Yarrowia lipolytica: one gene and its partners. Each later gene encodes a partner of the first gene's protein in a complex. Links are inferred from orthologs where the notes say so. Each region holds a gene or a part of one and is shown in the gene's direction. Other genes may lie near its edges.

Region 1 (5,996 bases):
GTACCTCGGAAGGAATTCAAGGCCACTAGAACGTCCCCGCGGTTTGCGATGACCGGACTTACACCAACGGCTGTCATCCTTCAAACCTCAATTTTGCGCAAGAACTGGAAGACCGCGTCGAAAGCGTTTGCGTTGGCTATTCGTAATGGCAGTTTCCATCGCGGTAGTCTTTTGGGCCCAGGTATCAAGATTCTTGTCGAGACCAAGGAACCGCCTCACAATCTATCCGCTTGCACTAATTTCTTGAATTTTCTCATGCTGGAGATGTCATATTTGAAGTTTCACAATCGACAACTCAATGAGTTCAGTCTCTTGGGGCGAGATATACGGCACTTGATCTCCAGAAGTGATGACTTCTTACGAAACTTGGCCCTTGTACACCTCAAGTTCAATGGTACGCCTGAAGACCTTCTTACCCGTTTGGATGAGGACATGCTGATCCCGCCCTTCTCGGAGGACTCGTCGCTAATGTATCTTCGGGGTATCGTATTGCTCAGATGTGTCTATTACAATATCGAGAAACAAGGAGTTTTGTCAGCTACCTCAAAGGAACTGCTAGATCGATGCAGGGTGCAGTTTGAGTTGGCACATAAGGGAGGAATGATCTTTTGTCTTGAAGAGTATCTGAGCTTGTTGGATGACATTTCGAGCGGCCATGCCCACGGCGAAGTCAAACTCGAAACCATCAAAAACGAAGGTCAGTTTTCTGCCTTTGCCAGTGAACATGACAGCAACTCCGAATATGAGACGGTACCATGGTGGGACCAGACTCTTAATGATGACGATGACCCTGCTAGTGAGAACGCGAGTGCTGAGGCTGCGGAGGATGCTGAGGTCGCTGATGATGGTTCAGCTGGGTCAGATGAAGTAGTTCCTTGGTGGGAGACGCTTAACAGCGATGGCGATGGCAACGATTCCGATGACGACAAAATTGAAGTTGACGAGGATTCTGATGACTATGAAATCCAAGTTGATGGAGATTCGGAGCCTCAAGTCAAATTAGAGCCAGATAAGGAGTCAGCACTTGGTAACTCAGACAGTGATTTCGCTGTCAAGCCTGAGCCCTCGCCATATGACGAGTACGACTTTGGTGCGCGCAATGTTGAAGACACCCCTCATCCCAAGACTGAACCAAATGACGACTATGATTTCGACTTTGACTCTGATATCGAGGAACCTGTGATAAAGACTGAACATGCTGATAGTGAAGTGGAAGCACCCTCTCAGTCCCCCGTTCCCCAAGTGAAAAAGGAAGGGTTCTCCACCCTCGACGACCTCTTGGGAAGCATGCCTGGGGAAAAGAGCGAAGGCAAGAAAGATAAGAAGAAAGATAAGAAGGACAAGAAGGACAAGGATAAAAAAGACAAGAAAGAAAAGAAGAAGAAGAAGAAGAAGAAGAGCAGAAAGTCAGATGTGGACGACGATGTGGACTTTGACATTTAGGACTTGCAATGTCCTTATTTATACGTTAAATACAATTTCGCCTGTGAATAACTTCACTTGTATATTATTATTCTTTCCATACATGCCAAAACCTATAGAATCAGTAATCAGCCTCATACTCGTCGGGGAAGAAGATCTGTCGCTCAGCTCCATCCTTGGTGAGAATGCAAATTCGAATGACTCCTCCAGACGAACCGTCCCACTTAATGGCCTGGGCAAGCGCTATGTTAGTAACAATACCGGGATATCTCAGGTATACTTGTTTCGGGGGAATACTCACAGTTCTTGATGAACAGAACACACTCGTCCTTGGTCATGTCCTGCTTGAAGTTCTTTTGACAAAGACCATAAATGTATGTGGATCCACTACCGGCAATGGCGTAGTCCTGCTTGTGCAACGAACCACCAAGAGGTATGCTGTACACCTCACCTCCGTTCTTGTCATCGTAGCCAGCCACAATGATACCTGCAGTGAGGTTATCCTTGTTGTTGTAGCACAGCTCCTGGAACATTGAGGCCGCCACCTTCGTAGAGGGGTCCTTGTCGTTCTGGGCGGCGTATGATTGCAGATGATAAGTGACAATGTCTGCCACGGCCTGTGTGTCTGCGGCGGAGCCAGATCGGCAGCACCAGATCTTATCGTGGACTTGAGTAAGCTTGTCGGTGACTCGGTTGGCAATGAAAGCTCCTGTGGTTGTTCGACTGTGTTAGTGGGATTGTTCTAACATTTGATGGGTCCCGACGGGTGGCGAATGCGGTCATCCTGGTTGATACTCACCTGTCTGCGCCAAGCACGACTCCGTCCTTGAACTTGACGGCCATACTGTTGTTAGTTTCTGTGCGATTGCGGATGGGGTATCATTAGATGGTGTTGGTGGCGAAATGGTGATACATACATGGAGGTTCCGAGGCTGTGTTAGTAAGGGGTCTTGAAGGGGTCAATTGCAGGGACAACTGTACCAGTTGTAATGCGGTGTACTCACTTGACCTCGCCCTTCTTCAGGTGGTTCATATCTACACTGATTCCGTTCATTGCGTTGTGATGTGTGGTGTAGATGATACTGTGTGCTGTTGTGTTAACTCCAACGATATCGATATTGGGAGGTGCTTATTAAGTCGATGATTACTAAGCCGTTGAAGTTAGTGGGGCTGAGTTGCTGCACAAATAGAGGAGCAGGCCCTTCTCTTCGTAATATTGGTAATTGTTGAAGTTTCCCGGATGTGATAATAATATTTGTATTCTTCTCAACTCTTCTAATCTCTCACAATAGTGTTATTTGGCGACATCTTCTAGTTACTGAGAAAACAAGATGTTCTTGAACAAACTCCCAAACTCCCATGAGCATGTTCGCAATCTCAACTAGAGATGTCTCGACACAAATACGCTACTGGTCGTGCCTTTTCACAAAGTGAAAAGCTAGGTGAGCATTTTCGACATTCTTGATACAGTTTTACTGGTCTTATTTGATGCGACACCCTCTTGCAACGAATTGTAGGAGGTCTTCACCCTCTCGTACTCTAATATTCTTGGGACTGAAATATCCACGCATGGAAAAATTTAAGCATGGCATAGGTGAAAATTGGAAATTAAGCTCACGACCCACGATATTGAAACTAGACAGCCGGACATCCACATCTAGACGACAATAATGGCTCTCCGACTTCCCGCTCTTCTCGACGCAAACGCCCCTTGGGGCCCCCCTTCTACCGTCCCTGAGGACCTCAAGTTCGACGACGTTCCTTACGCCCCCTTCTCTAAGGGAGACAAGCTCGGTAAGGTGGCTGACTGGGCTGCTGAGACCAAGGACGGTAAGGACCAGAAGCGAACCCAGTTCGGCAAGAACTTCCGAGACCCCTACCATGCCTACGGAGCCTCTTCCGCTTCCTTCTTCACCAACGAGGATGCTGAGGAGCTGTCATCTTTCTCCGTGGTTGACAACGCCAAGAACGCCAACAAGCCCCGAGGAACTGCCACCGTTCTCAAGACTCGAGGAGGTGCTCCCCGAGGTGGCTCTTTCGCTGGACGAGGAGGTTCCCAGCGAGGAGGCCGATTCCAGAATCAACCCGGCCGGGGACCCGTTGGTGGCCAGCGAGGCCCCAACCCTCGATTTGGTAAGAGCAAGTTCGGATGGAGAGACTTTGACAAGCCCCAGCGAATCCGAAACGCCTCCGTCGACATTACCGACGACTGGACCGAGATCCAGGAGATCACTTACTCCGAGATGCAGAAGCTCAGCTACGACGTTGCCCAGGGAGTGGAGATTGATACCTACGGAGACCTGTTCCCCTACGACCGAAAGTTCGACCGTACTAACAACATTACCAAGCTCGCTCACCTCGGCCGAACCGTGTTCAACACCACCACCTCTGAGGACCCCATCATGCAGGAGCTCGCCAAGGACCCTGCCAACCGAATCTTCATCACTGACACCATTCTGTCTCAGATCATGTGCACCACCAAGTCCGTGGCTCCTTGGGATATTGTCATCACCAAGAAGGGTGAGCAGCTCTTCTTTGACAAGCGAGAGGGTGGTCCTCTCGACTTCATCACCGTCGACGAGAACGCTGCTGACCCTCCTGCTGACTCCACCGACAAGGACAACATCAACTCTTCCGCAAACCTTGGCTTTGAGGCTACTCTGATTAACCAGAACTTTGCCTCCAATGCTATTACTGAGGACCCCAAGAGCAAGGTCTCCTACAAGGCCAACCCCTTCTCTAACAACGACTCCAACGTCCTGTGCCACGCCTACAAGTACAAGAAGTTCAACCTTTCGGACGACCCTGAGGGAGCACCCCTTAACCTCATCCTCCGAACCGAGGTCGACGCTCTTGGACCTGACGGCACTACCCTCAACCTGCGTGTTCTCAACGAGTACGGCTCCTCCGAGTGGAAGAACAAGTTCAACACCGGCCGAGGTGCCATCATCGCCGCTGAACTCAAGCACAACCTCAACAAGATCTCTCGATGGACTGTGCAGAGCATTCTCGGTGATGTTGATCAGATGAAGATTGGTTTCGCCTCCCGAGTGTCCCCTAAGGACAACACCCAGCACAACATCATTGGTGTTGTCAGCCGAGAGCCCAAGCAGTTTGCTGAGCAGATCAATGTCAACCTTAACAACGGTTGGGGTATCTTCAAGTCCGTCGTCAACATTGCCACCGCCAAGGACGACGGCAAGTACGTTCTCGTCAAGGACCCCAACAACCCTGCCGTCAAGATCTACAAGCCCGCTGCTGGCTTTTAGATGGCTTTAAAAAAATCATGTTATAGAAATACGATTGGTTAGTATAAAATGTAATTACTGTGTAGTGTAGATGATAAATAGCTAATGTACATTATTAAATAGTTTGTTGATTCACGTTGTCCAGTTGTTTTCGTAACAGGGGTGCGAGAAGAGTTCGTGGAGTGCTGGGGTCCTGACGCAAACGGCTCATTCTAATAGAAGTGGGCGGACGTCTGCTGGACCGCAAAGGAGTTTCAAAGCCATGCATTTCTCGAATTTCATGGTAGTTGACTGCTTCATCTGAAAGGGTGGGACCAAAACCAGTCTTTTCTCTGCATTTATTTAGCCATTTTTTGAAGTAAGGCTCCGCGAGTCGAGAGTCGCGCTTCTTCTCAAAGTCCTCGGCTGTTCGTTGGTTCTGGATCATGCGCAACGTTCGCAGTCGCCATTTGCGCACGTGTTGTCTCTGGATCTTCTTGAGGTTCTTCGTTCGTGTGTCGTTGGCAGCCTTGCTGAACAGGTCAGCCCTCTCAGCCTTGAACAGCCATGAAGAAAAGTGCGCATTCAAAAGACGTTTGTCGTTGATGGCAGATGCATCTTCCACCAGACCTCTGGATTGCTCGGATAGGAATCTCCAATGATCAAATATCTCTTTCATGGTCAACATATCCTTCTCGATGAAAAGGTCCTCGGCAACAGCCATATCCTCCTCCACCTTGTTCTTGGCGAGTCTCCACCTGGAGAATGCTGTTATCGCAATTTGGTGGTCTCGGTGAGCACGGAACTCGCGAACCTCTTCCTCATGACGACGACTTCGTTTTGTCTCCATGTTGGTCCGCCAGTATTTCAGAAAACTCTTGCCGACATTCCGGTTGCGTAGATCTTCAGCCTCAGAGTACATATCGTGCATCTTGTTGAACACTGTGCTGATCTTGCTAAAGCCGAGAGTCAAAAGACCATTACGATAATGTTGGTGGGCACGGGACATATCCAAAGCGACATCCTCAAGGTGGTCTCTCCAGATGTTCAGGAAACGATGAGCAATCTTCTGGTTCAGCTCCATTGTTTTCTTCTGAAACATCATTGTACGAGAGTCAATCCTCTCGGCAGTGACTTGTCTCCAGTGTACCAGAATGGTCTTTGCCATGACTCCGTTGTTGACCCGCGAGGTGAGTCTGGCACGTGATTTGAACCTCCACATTGTGAGAATTCTGTACTTCAAATCGTCACCCCGTCTTCGTTGTACTGCCTGAGTTTTGAGCCCGATCGTAAAAGCTGTCAGTCCCAAGTGTAACAGCGAGTGTTTCCGGAATCGTTTCGCTTCAA
Region 2 (6,812 bases), about 550 kb from region 1:
GCGAGAGAAATGGTAAATTTAGGAGCTGAAGGAGGTCAGGAGACGTATTCAAGCAACCATCGGGTAAACATTGAGTAAATATTTGGCTAAAAAATGTCCCATGTTCCAGCGTTGTATCTACCAGTACACTGTACTTGTACATGACTCATGGTAAAGCTGTCACAACCTGACAAATCAAGCAGACTGCTCATCCCCATGTGGGAGCATCCATCCTTGCATACTGGCCACTTCTTTGTCAACAGCTATTTCGGTTTAATATGGGGTTCAGAATCGATTGCCGGCATATGACTGACGAGTTATGTGTAGAATGCCAGTCACATTGGTTGTGCATGGTGTATGGGGGAATGAACAACAGATACAGAATCGTTCCGGTACTTGAATAGACCATCCTTCTGTATGAGACCACGAGTGTCAGTACATACAGTAGCTAATGCAACAGAATATGTGCAGAATATACCTTAGCTTCCTTCCCATACACCTTCTCGGTCAACTACTTGCACTCGTACTCGTACTCGTGCAGTAGTAGCTCAAGCTGTGATATAGCCAGCGAACTACGGCTGTTAGTTCGAATATCGTAGAGCGCAGAATGACTCTCAAAACAGCACAATCTACAGTACAGCCCCGAGCCACTTGCATGTATTTGCTCGTGGTCATACACACATCATGCCACTTCCCCTCAGATGCATGAGTGTACCTTCCACTACAATACTTGTAGCACAAGAACCATATGTCACCAGAGCATACACGGAGATGGAGTGTCGGAGAGATGGACGTCTTTATTCATCAAATCTGAAGTACAGGTACTTTTATTGACACTTCAAGAATCAAAAGTTTAGGAGCTTGAAAGGCTCCCATTTACTCTTCAGCGTGTCCCTCCAACATATCCAGCTCATTATACAATGAAAGGGAGCGTAGTAAGGGACAAGGGTTTCCTCCTTCGTTGTATGCACACAAGCTGTAGTGGATTTGGTATCTCGTTAAACCGCCACCGTCCTTACATGAGTGCGAACAGTATCATTTCTCTTACCAAGAGATGGCCAAGAGAGGACACTTTATACGCTCGACTTTTGGAGCTATTTGAGAACAGCGCGAGGTATCCATCAAACATGATCTCTTCGTCAGTAACATTGTACAGTTACACAGCATTGAGAGAGTAAGGCCCAGCAATCAGTGTTGCTACAAAACGCCAGGGAAGATGAAGAGACACTTCAGACTTTTGAGCATCATGGCACAAGAGTACTCGTAGTACAGTACCAGTTAGGTCGAAAGCCTGAAAATAGCTACATTACTGATATATCAATGCACTCGAAAAAGCGGTTGCAGGTTCCTTTCGTCCATTTTGGGTCCCATATACTCTCCGTGAACTACAGTATGTACGATGTACTCGAGGACTGGTCCATCGAACCTACAGATACCGCGATGGTACGATACAGTTCTTTTATTGGTAGATATAGATGACATTTGGAACCCGGTGTGCTTATACAGCAGTTCTACAACTCCTACAACGGAGCCGACAGCTCCACAGAGTCTCTGACCTCGCTCTACACAACTAATGCTCTAACACAGGCCCGAAGGTATATCAGAGAAGCCGCGGTTCAAGGTAACAGGGAGCATATCACCGGGATTACCGGGGAAATCTGAAGACCAAAGAGACCAGAGATACACAACAGTCAGGAGGCATGTTAGTTCCACTCCATACAAACTACTGTACATACGTGCACCTACAGTACATTCAAACCTGAGAAAGATCATGAGATATCTGTAAGTGCACAACTTCATTCAAGTCCAGTACTCTTACCAAGATATATCATCACCGTCGTATTAGACACTTTCCAAGTCATGCTCTCCTCCACACCTACTGTACGATACGAGGCTCTGTCTGGTCATGTGACCTTAGTTAAATTGCATATATATACATACAGCACACACATCTTCTTTCCTCGTCTCCCAACTACAAAACTCTAACTAACTAAACACCACTGTAAAAAAATTAGGAGCTAATGGTAGGTAGTGGATCTGATGATGACGTGATAATGCGAGGAGAAATGGGACAGCTTTATAGAATTCTACTTCCAAAAACTGAATACAAGCACCACGCCCTGTCGCAGCCCTCTACTTCTGCCCCTCGTCACAACCACAATCCCTTCTTTTTGCCTAACCCTCAAAGTTACCCTACCTGCAAGTCTCACACGTCTGCTGAAAAATTTCTAGTTACACCTACCAAGCAACCACACCACCAATATGGCTCCCCATCAGAACGTCCGTCCCGAGACGGTCTTGAAGCGAACCGACGAGCTTATTGCCGTGGGCCAGCAGGATGCTGCTCTGGAGCTTCTCCACGAGACTGTGTCTGCCCGAAAGGCCCGAACCACTTCTGTGGCTACTCTGGAGCCCATCGTGGCTCGATTTGTGCAACTTTCCGTTGACCTGCGCAAGGGCAAAATCATTAAGGATGGTCTTCACCAGTACAAGAAGATCGTGCAGTCCACCAACGTGAACGCCATTGAGCCTGTTATCAAGCAGTTTCTGTCTCTGGCCGAGCAGCGAGTTACTGATGCTCAGGCCCAGGCTGACAAGATTGCCGACGAGGAGGAGGCTGACGATCTGGAGGCCGAGGAGACGCCTGAAGACCTGCTTCTGGCCACGGTGTCCTCCGAGGACACCAAGGACCGAACTGACCGACGGGTCGTAACCCCCTGGCTCAAATTCCTGTGGGAGGCCTACCGAAGCGTGCTGGACGTTCTGCGAAACAACAGCAAGCTGGAGGTCATCTACCAGCAGGTGGTCGAGCAGGCCTTCAACTTCTGTCTGAAGTTTTCTAGAAAGACCGAGTTCCGACGACTCTGTGAGCTTCTGCGATCCCATCTGCAGACCACTGCCCAGAAAGGCCCCAACGCTCCCCCCGTGACCGCAACTTCTGTCGATCTGTCTGATGCTGACACTCTGCAGCGGTACCTTGACACCCGGTTCTCACAGCTCAACGTGGCCGTCAAGCTGGAGTTGTGGCAGGAGGCCTTCCGATCCGTCGAGGATGTGCACACCCTGCTGACAGTTTCCAAGCGACCCGCCAAGCCCCTGATGATGGGTAACTACTACGAGAACCTGGCCCGAATCTTCCTGGTCGCCGGAAACTACCTCTTCCACGCTGCGGCCTGGAACAAGCTCTTCCACCTGCTGTCCCAGTCTCCCCGAGGTGCCATCCCCGTGTCCGAGTACCAGCGAGTCGCCTCTTTTGTGCTTCTGTCTGCCCTCGCCATCCCCCACAACTCCAGCGCCGAGGATCGATACCGAAACACCCGGCTCACTGGTCTGCTCAACCTGCAGCGAACCCCCACTCGAGACGCTCTTCTCAAGTCTGCGCTGTCCCGAAACATTCTGGCTCACGTCAAGCCTGAGATCAAGGCTCTGTACAAGACTCTGGAGGTCGACTTTCACCCTCTGTCTATTCGAGCCAAGCTGACCCCCGTGGTTGGCGCTATCGCTGAGGCCCCCGAGTTCAAGCCCTACTTTGCCCCTCTTTACCAGGTCATTCTCACCCGGCTCTTCCAGCAGCTGTCGCAGGTCTACGAGTCCGTCAAGCTTGACTTTGTCATCCAGTTGGCTACTTTCCCTGCCCCTTTCTCTGCTACCCCTCTGGAGATTGAGCAGTTCATTGTCCGAGCCTGTGCTCAGGGCGAGCTGGCCATTAAGATTGACCACGACCAGCGATCCGTGCTGTTCGAGGAGGTCCGAGCCGCCACAGGCTCTGCTTCTCTGCAGGACACTCCCATTGAAATTGTTCGAACCCAGCTCTCTCGGCTTGGTCGAACTCTCTCTGTTGCTGACCCTCTCAACTCCGCCGAGGCTCGAGAGCAGCAGTACGTGGCTGCTCTCACTACTGCTCAGGACAATGCTGAGCGAGAGCACGCCGAGACTCTGGCTCGACGAGCTGAAATTGAGGCCCGAAAGGCCCAGGCTGAAGCCGAGCGAGCTCAGCGAGAGGAAGAGGAGGCTCGAAAGCGAGCTCAGCGACTTCTGGACGAGGAGCTCGCCGAGAAGGAGCGTCTGGCTGCCGAGCAGCACGCCCGAGAGCTCGAGCGGATCCGAAAGGAGCAGGACGCCATCCGAGAGGAGGAGAAGAAGAAGCTGGCCGAGGAGATCAACGCGAAGGGTATCATCACTATCGATCTCGACAAGCTCGAGGGTCTGGACACCAACGCTCTGCGAAAGATGCAGGTGGACCAGCTGGCCAAGGAGACCAAGGAACTTGGAGACCGACTCCGAGTCACTGCTCGGCGAATCGACCACACTGAGCGAGCCTACCGAATGGAGGAGATCAAGCTGGTGGAGGACGACTTTGTCAAGCAGAAGCAGCGAGACCGAGAGATCTACGATACTCGAATCAAGCTCATCAAGGACACCGCCAAGGCCGAGCACGACGCCAAGGTCGAGCTGGCCAAGCGTCTGCAGCGAGCCGTTCCCTTCTACAAGTCTTTCCGAGACGATATCCGTGTCAAGCGAGAGGCTGAGTTTACTCGTCTTCGAGAGGAGGCCGTCAAGAATCTCGCCGAGGCTAAGGCTGCTCGAATCGAGGAGGTCAAGGCCAAGCGAATCGCTGACGCCAAACGAGCTGAGGAAGAGGCCAAGGCTGCCGCTGAGGCAGAGGCCAAGGCTGCTGCTGAGGCGGAAGCCAAGGCCAAGGCCGAGCAGGAGATGCGAGAGAAGCTGCTGGCAGAGAAGAAGGCCCGAGAGGAGGCCAACGCACGAGCCGACGCCGCCTACGAGAAGCAGCGACAGAAGGAGGCCGAGTTGGAGGCCAAGCTGGAAGCCAAGCGAGCCGGCTTCTCCGGAGCTGGTCGACAGGCCCCTCCCAGCGGTGGCTACGTTCCTCCTTCGCGACGAGAGGGTGGATACGTCCCCCCCAGCCGACGAGGAGATGCTGGAGCCGCTCCTGGAGCTGGCTCTGGAGGTTACACTCCTCCTAGCCGACGAGAAGGTGGCGGAGGCGGATATGTTCCCCCCAGCCGACGAGAAGGTGGCGGAGGAGGCTACGTTCCTCCTTCTCGACGTGAGGGTGGATCTGGCGCTGGATCTGGAGGCCGATATATTCCTCCTTCCCAGCGAAACTAAAATTAAAGGTGATTGGTATAGATTAACAACTGATTTGTTGAGATACGAACAAGTAGAACAAGTAGAACAAGTGGCGTTTGTGAAAGTACTGTATGAGTACACATACTTGTAACGGTACATACTGTACTACTGTAGTAGAGTAGAGTGGGAGCTGTGCTCCAGATAGATTGCAAATGCAATCAGAAGGTGGGTTAAACAACCATACAAGTAAACTTTCATTGAGATGCTTGGTACACATGAGAGGGGCGAGGCATGTTGAATACGAAAGCAAGCTCGACAGAGTGGGCTATCTTATCTGAATCAAATGGAACGATCGAGAGGTGACATGTCCTATATTACTACAGTACAAGTAGAGAGTACTTGTAGTTGGATATGATTATGGCACTGTGTTATAAAAACGCCACTCTCGGGGACAGCAACCTTCAGAGGCTTGCTTTTGGGCGTTGAGAATGGACTTTCACGGACATTGTCTGCAGCGCCAAGTGGCTCCGTTTTCTTATCTTGCAGTTGATTGCACGAGGGTTTAAACCACGGCACGCAAAGTTCAGCCGCCTGCTTGACTTGACGAGAGGTAACCTGGTGAAAGGCGCTTGTAGAAAGCGGCTGAAACTGCCCACCCGAGCCGTCCAACCGAGCCACTACTTTGGCTGAAAACGAAATTGACTCGCAGTGCGACGTAAAAACTGGAGTATGGTGCTGAAACAGAACTCATCCACAACCAAAACGATCACAATTGCTCGCCTACTTGTACTGGTACGTTCCCTATCTTTTTCCTCTCGTAATGTGACCGTTTTGGGATTTAGTTTACACCAAGGCCAAAAGTTTGATAAGGAATGAGAGCGAATCTCAAAGGTGACGTAGATGTTGGAGCCTCGAAGCCGTGGTCCCTGCAACCCTCTACTTGATTTGCAAAACTTTTTCTGTTTCTAATACGTAAAAAGTTTGGAATGTCTCCTTATTTCAAATCTTGTGTGCTCGCCGACGAACAAGTCGTCTTTGGATCAATAATGGATGTGACACTGTCTAGTTTTTCCGCCCCGGCTCACTAGTGCTCCGTCTGTTAGTATTCATAATCCGGGTCATCATACGCTATAATACACTAGTTGAGTTTTTTCATCCGCTATTATAGCTCCTCAGACGGGAACTAGTCGGGAGCGGAACGTTCTTCATGTCCCCGGAAACGAAAACTTTGGACATGGTAGAATTACAGTGGGTGGCGCTACATTCTAAGGAGGGGAGGTAATAGTAAACAGACTGGGTGTGATATGTCCGTCTGGTTTTCGGACTAGCCTCTGCGTCATCTCTCATGGCGCAAAGTGCTACTTGTAGTGTAATGCAGAGGGCTTTTTCGGCGGAGTTCACGTATTCACGTACAGTTGTATTCACCGCAGCCAAAAACGGGCTAGTCAAACAGCCTTTAACAACGGCTAAGCTCAAAAGTCCTCGAAGGATGGGTGCAGTCATTGCAGCCCCTGTGTGCAGAAGACGGCTTCTACTCGGGGAGAAGAGAGGTGTAGAGTGGTGTAGATCGTGCCGTGCCAGTCAGCTTGATGACAATGATAATGACCTTCTACCCCACAGGCGGGATTCCGTGTCTGTCTAAAGCCTACCGTGAAGCGGCTAACAAGGCCGCAGAGGCTAATATCGAGTGTCTTTTGGGCTATGGTGAAAAACTAATCCCTGGGCTGCTGTTTGCGACGAAC
Region 3 (5,278 bases), on another chromosome or scaffold:
TACAATACTCATTATTTTCATCTCCAGAGTTTGTGGAATGTCTCTCCGGCGAGTTGGATGAGGTGTGCTGTTGAGTGGGCGTTAGGTCATCAAGTCAAGTACTGAGAGCAACATTAGTTGGGTTATAGAGTGTTGTCAACAAAACAGCTATTGCGGCGCCTTAATGTTGCAAGTCATGTCAACTCACGCCCAAGATTGTTAGCCCTAACATTCCACAACCCCACACCAAGTAGACGTTGAGAGCACGAAATTTGACATTTGAATCAGATCAGCAGTATAATGTGGCCTTGAATAACCCCATAATAGTTGTCAAATTTGTTCCCTCGCCCCTCAAACACCCCCAAACCTCCTCCTCCTAAGTTACCCTACCTACAGTTCAGCTCTTTCATCAAGGTTCCACACTGCACCAAAAAAATCAAGCCGTCTGCATCACCACTTGCCATCACTACTAGACATAACCATGGTGCAAATCAACGAAATCAAGAGCAATTCGCGAGACACCCGCACAGCCGCGCACACACATATCCGTGGTCTAGGTCTCAACGAAATGGGTGTCGCCAAGCCCATTGATGCGGGGTTTGTGGGCCAAACCGAGGCTCGAGAGGCCCTGGGACTGGTGGTTGACCTGATTCGAGCCAGCAAGATGAGCGGCCGAGGAATCCTTCTTGCTGGCGGTCCCGGTACCGGAAAGACTGCTCTGGCGCTTGCCGTCTCGCAGGAACTCGGCCCCAAGGTCCCCTTCTGCCCCATTGTTGGTTCTGAGATTTTCTCCGCAGAGGTCAAGAAGACTGCTGCTCTGATGGAGAACTTTCGACGGGCCATTGGACTGCGAATCAAGGAGACCAAGGACATTTACGAGGGAGAGGTGACGGAGCTGACGCCCGAGGAGGCCGAAGATCCCCTGGGAGGCTACGGCAAAACCATCCGGTCGGTGGTGGTGGGTCTCAAGAGTTACAGAGGCACTAAGCAACTGCGGCTGGATCCCAAGATCTACGAGTCGATTCAGAAGGAGCGGGTGGCCGTTGGCGACGTGATTTACATTGAGGCCAACACTGGTGCTGTCAAGCGAGTGGGACGATCGGATGCCTACGCTACCGAATTTGATCTCGAGACGGAGGAGTACGTTCCCCTGCCCAAGGGAGAGGTGCACAAGAAGAAGGAGATTGTGCAGGACGTAACGCTGCATGATTTGGATGTGGCCAATGCACGGCCTCAGGGAGGACAGGATGTCATGTCGATGATGGGCTCGCTGATGAAGCCCAAAAAGACAGAAATCACAGACAAGCTGAGAGAGGAGGTCAACAAAAAGGTGCAGTCGTACATTGACCAGGGAGTGGCTGAACTGGTGCCTGGTGTACTGTTTATCGACGAGGTGAACATGCTAGATGTGGAGTGTTTTACCTACCTCAACCGGGCTCTGGAGTCGACAATCTCGCCCATTGTCATCCTGGCGTCCAACCGAGGCATGTGCCGAGTTCGGGGTGTGGACGACGATGTGTCTCCTCACGGCATCACCACCGATCTGCTCGATCGACTGCTCATTGTGCGAACTCTGCCCTACTCTCTGGACGAGATCAAGACCATCATTCAGAAGCGAGCTGTGGTTGAACAGCAGCAGATTTCCGAGGACGCTCTGGACGCCCTTGCTCAACATGGAGCCCGAACCTCGCTGAGATACGGCCTTCAGCTTCTGTCTCCTGCTGGAGTGCTGGCCAAGAGCGAGGGACGAGACGTGGTGGAGGTCAAGGACGTGGAGGAGTGCGAGTCGTTGTTCCTGGATGCTACTCGATCTAAGGGGCGGTTTACTGACAAGTTTTTGTAGGCTGCTTAACGACAGACGGATACTGGCCTACAGATAGTTTCTAAGCTGACCAAGGGGATGTATTTTGTATTATGTATTGAATGGATATTTTGGATATACTTTGGGAAAAAAAGGAACATCATTGTATTGAAATGAAGAGTAATGGTGGCAACCGCGACAGGTGCTTGTACTTGCACCTACTGCTACATTCTGTCGTAGCAATGTTCTGTGTGAACAAGTCAAGTGCATTTCCTTCTCCTCCCAACCAACATCGACAGTTGAAATTTCGGGTTCTTTTTTTTTAAGGTGAAATTTCATTACTCCCAATTGAGTATCCAAAGGAGAGAACGGGGCGGTAGAAGAGGTGATTGAGATGGAATTTGGTCACACTGAAACAACCAGTGTAATGAGCACGACATTTTGTACCTGTATATAAGGCTACTTTACACCCCAGATGGCCAGAAAAGGTGGTAACAACGAGCTCTCCAATCTAACCCCAACCCTAACCATAACTCTATGGAGGGCCCAAAAATTTCACATCAACCACCACACCCACCACTACACAACCAACATGTCCGATATCAATTTCATGGTTGTCGACGGCTCTCTGGCCGACCTGGTGGCCGAGCTGACCGCGTACATCGAGACCCTTGGCTGCGACGAGCTGGAGGCCAACTGCCAACGAGCTCTGGCTGCGGGTGAGGAGCCCAAGGTGTTTGAGTTGATTACTCAGCAGCTCCCTCTGCTAAACAAGTCTTCGGAGCAGCAGTTTGAGTCCGTGTGGCAGTTGTGCTTGCACGTCTTCTCCTTCTCCGAGTCCTTTGAGTGGGTTGATGCTGTTCTGAAGGCCATTTCCGGCCACAGCAACCTGCCTCGATCTTTCAACGGCCCCGCTGCTGCGGGCCAGGCCGTTGTTGCTGTCCTGGCCTCTCTTTTCAATATGCTGAGCTCCAGCCACGACGACGCACAGCTCGCAAACACCCTTCTGGCTGCTCTGACCACCGCTGAGGAGACTGGAAACCTGCATCTTCTTGCCGGACAGCTCAAGTCCGACCAGACCGTCACATGGATCAACACGTGGCAGATTGAGGCTGACGTGCGAGATCAGCTCATTGCCAAGATCTACAGTGCCCTCGTGCAGCTGGACGAGCCCGCCAAGGCCCTGGCTCTGCTGGTGGCTGCTGTTGGCAACACCCAGACCTCCACCTTCCCCATGACCTGCAAGCTGGTGCAGCAGGCGCTCAAGTCGGACCACGTGTACGACTTTGGCTCTATTCTGGCTCTCGAGCCCGTGGAGGACCTCAAGACCACAGAACAGCGACTATTCGAGCTGCTGACCACCGTGGCAAGCGGAGAAGTGGCCAAGATGCAATCTCTGGCCGCCGGAGACGCCAAGAGCCTCATTGAGGAGAACGACTTTGATGCGGAGTCGCTGCTCGCCAAGACCCGAGTCATTGCGCTGGCCAACCTCGCTGCCGAGTCTCCTGAGATCGAGTACTCTATCATCGCCAAGAACCTGGACGTTTCTCTGGACACAGTGGAGCTGTGGGTTATCGATACGATCCGAGCCGGTCTCGTGGAGGGCCGTCTGAGCCAGACCAAGCAGTCGTTCGCTGTGCACCGGGCCCAGAAGAGCGGTCCTATCGCCAAGGCCGACTGGGAGGTCATCAGCCAGAAGCTGGATGTGTGGAAGAAGAGCATCAACGACGTGCTCCACGTGGTCAAGCAGGCCCGAGAGAACGCCAACGCGCAGAAGAGAAAAATTGCTGCTTAGGAGGTAAAATAGAGATTATATGGTTGATAAGCAATGGGGAGAATGTAGAGTACGAGTAAAGTGGCCTATGACATGTGTCTACCGTAATTATGTGTAGATGTTTATGAAAGTACTGTACTCGAGGAGCAAGAGCGAATTGTGAGTTTCGTCTGAGTTATGTTACAATAGCTGCTGTACCCAGAATTCAAGACAGAATTGAATGGCGTTTCTTTAACCACTTATTGCAATACACATGTCTGGTTAGGTGTCTCTTCTCATGTTGTGTACACCAATTAAATGAATGTATATGCAGAAAAAAAACAAAAAACCACACTGCTCATTCAACCACACTTTTCATTCCGTAAGAAGAGAAGGACAGATAATGGCTTGGATACACCTAGGTGATATTTACATTTAAAAAACCTGGAAACGTATTCGAAACCAAACTTGATATATATGTGTTGGCAGCTTTTTCGTCTTTGGTATCAGCAGGTAGTATGTACTTGTAGCTACACCCATATTATATGTTGTGTCTACCAATGAGAAGTTCATTTCTTTTTAAAGGAGTTATCATACCCACTCTGGATCATCTGTAGATACGGTATATTTAAATTTAAGATACTTTTATTCCTCCTACAGGCTGATTATACACTGTCTTGAGCTGATTCCAACGGAATGTCTTCACTAATTTATTGTCTTTCAACACCGGAAGTTGAAGGTGATACCAAGTAGGGTGCTAGAAGATTCCATCAGCTGGTCGACGACATGTCTGTCCTGTAGATGGTGTATCTGCTTATCTAGAATCTCTCTAGAATCTCTTTCTGGTGTGCGTTATTATTGGAAGCTGGTATCCTTAGAAGTGGGTTGTTATATATATACTGTTATATGTACTAAGTTATATATATCTAATCAACAATACATATTATCTTCAGTGCATATCAATTGAGGTCACAAAAACTGGAAGAAATAATAGGTGTAGAATTGACCCCAGCTCTCCTGCTTAATGTCAATCTTGTAATAGTCATACGAGTTGGGGTCATTCCACTCGGCAAGAGGAGTGTATTCAGCATTGTCTTCAAGCATCTGTTTGTACTTGACTTGCTGGTCGAGAAGACGTTCCAATTTGAAGGCCAGGAAGTAGGATATGAGCAAAAGAGCCACAGGAATAGGAACAAACAACCACACAGTTCGGATCCAGGTGGCAATCATGGCAGGAAAAATGGTGAACAGCAGAATAATATTCTTGCTCTTTTCAAACATCTCCAGGTACTTGTTTTTAGGCAACCAATTGGTGGAAAAGTAGGCCTCAGCCCATTTGATTTCATTGACCAGCACCGAGTTGACAAAAACAACAATAACAACTAGAAAGTAGTTCTTCACGACAAAAAGGAAGACCGCTGCTAGACTTACGAGTACTGTAGATAGGGTGAGAATGGCAGCTGTGAATTGGTAAGGAGATATCTTCCAACTCTGCAGTTTGGCAGCAGAAACCATGGGTTTTCTCCAGAGCGGGCCAATACCAACAGCAAGGATTCCCACTGCTTCCACTACCTTTATTCCCTTGTCGAAATGTGTTTTGGCGTCCTTCATGTCGAGACTGAGTATGTAAACCACACTGGTTGCCACTTGCATTTGTCGGAGCACCATGGTGGCCCAGTTGGCGGCAATGGCTGGAGAGATTAACATCTCAACCTTTGTCTCGATGTCTTCTTCGGCGTTATCGT

The links. Proteins that work in one complex are often made in the same cells at the same time.
Region 2: YALI1_F19805g (region 1) and YALI1_F25254g share a complex: the UniProt entries of both Schizosaccharomyces pombe proteins name them as parts of the eukaryotic translation initiation factor 3 (eIF-3) complex. The link is inferred for Yarrowia lipolytica from reciprocal best matches to the Schizosaccharomyces pombe genes moe1 and tif301.
Region 3: YALI1_F19805g (region 1) and YALI1_C30205g share a complex: the UniProt entries of both Schizosaccharomyces pombe proteins name them as parts of the eukaryotic translation initiation factor 3 (eIF-3) complex. The link is inferred for Yarrowia lipolytica from reciprocal best matches to the Schizosaccharomyces pombe genes moe1 and tif313.

Annotation. Positions count from the first base shown.
Region 1 is NC_090775.1:1,977,620-1,983,615, reverse strand, and holds YALI1_F19805g (uncharacterized protein), read left to right. Parts: upstream 1-3,092; coding exon 3,093-4,691; downstream 4,692-5,996. Other genes in the region: YALI1_F19841g (uncharacterized protein), read left to right, coding at 1-1,443; YALI1_F19811g (uncharacterized protein), read right to left, coding at 1,544-1,665, 1,724-2,145, 2,222-2,284, 2,427-2,476; YALI1_F19764g (uncharacterized protein), read right to left, coding at 4,786-5,996. UniProt on the Schizosaccharomyces pombe protein: mRNA cap-binding component of the eukaryotic translation initiation factor 3 (eIF-3) complex, which is involved in protein synthesis of a specialized repertoire of mRNAs and, together with other initiation factors, stimulates binding of mRNA and methionyl-tRNAi to the 40S ribosome.
Region 2 is NC_090775.1:2,523,224-2,530,035, forward strand, and holds YALI1_F25254g (uncharacterized protein), read left to right. Parts: upstream 1-2,241; coding exon 2,242-5,109; downstream 5,110-6,812. Other genes in the region: YALI1_F25289g (uncharacterized protein), read right to left, coding at 5,440-5,750, 5,794-5,821. UniProt on the Schizosaccharomyces pombe protein: RNA-binding component of the eukaryotic translation initiation factor 3 (eIF-3) complex, which is involved in protein synthesis of a specialized repertoire of mRNAs and, together with other initiation factors, stimulates binding of mRNA and methionyl-tRNAi to the 40S ribosome.
Region 3 is NC_090772.1:3,018,328-3,023,605, forward strand, and holds YALI1_C30205g (uncharacterized protein), read left to right. Parts: upstream 1-2,255; coding exon 2,256-3,575; downstream 3,576-5,278. Other genes in the region: YALI1_C30187g (uncharacterized protein), read left to right, coding at 461-1,822; YALI1_C30235g (uncharacterized protein), read right to left, coding at 4,503-5,240. UniProt on the Schizosaccharomyces pombe protein: Component of the eukaryotic translation initiation factor 3 (eIF-3) complex, which is involved in protein synthesis of a specialized repertoire of mRNAs and, together with other initiation factors, stimulates binding of mRNA and methionyl-tRNAi to the 40S ribosome.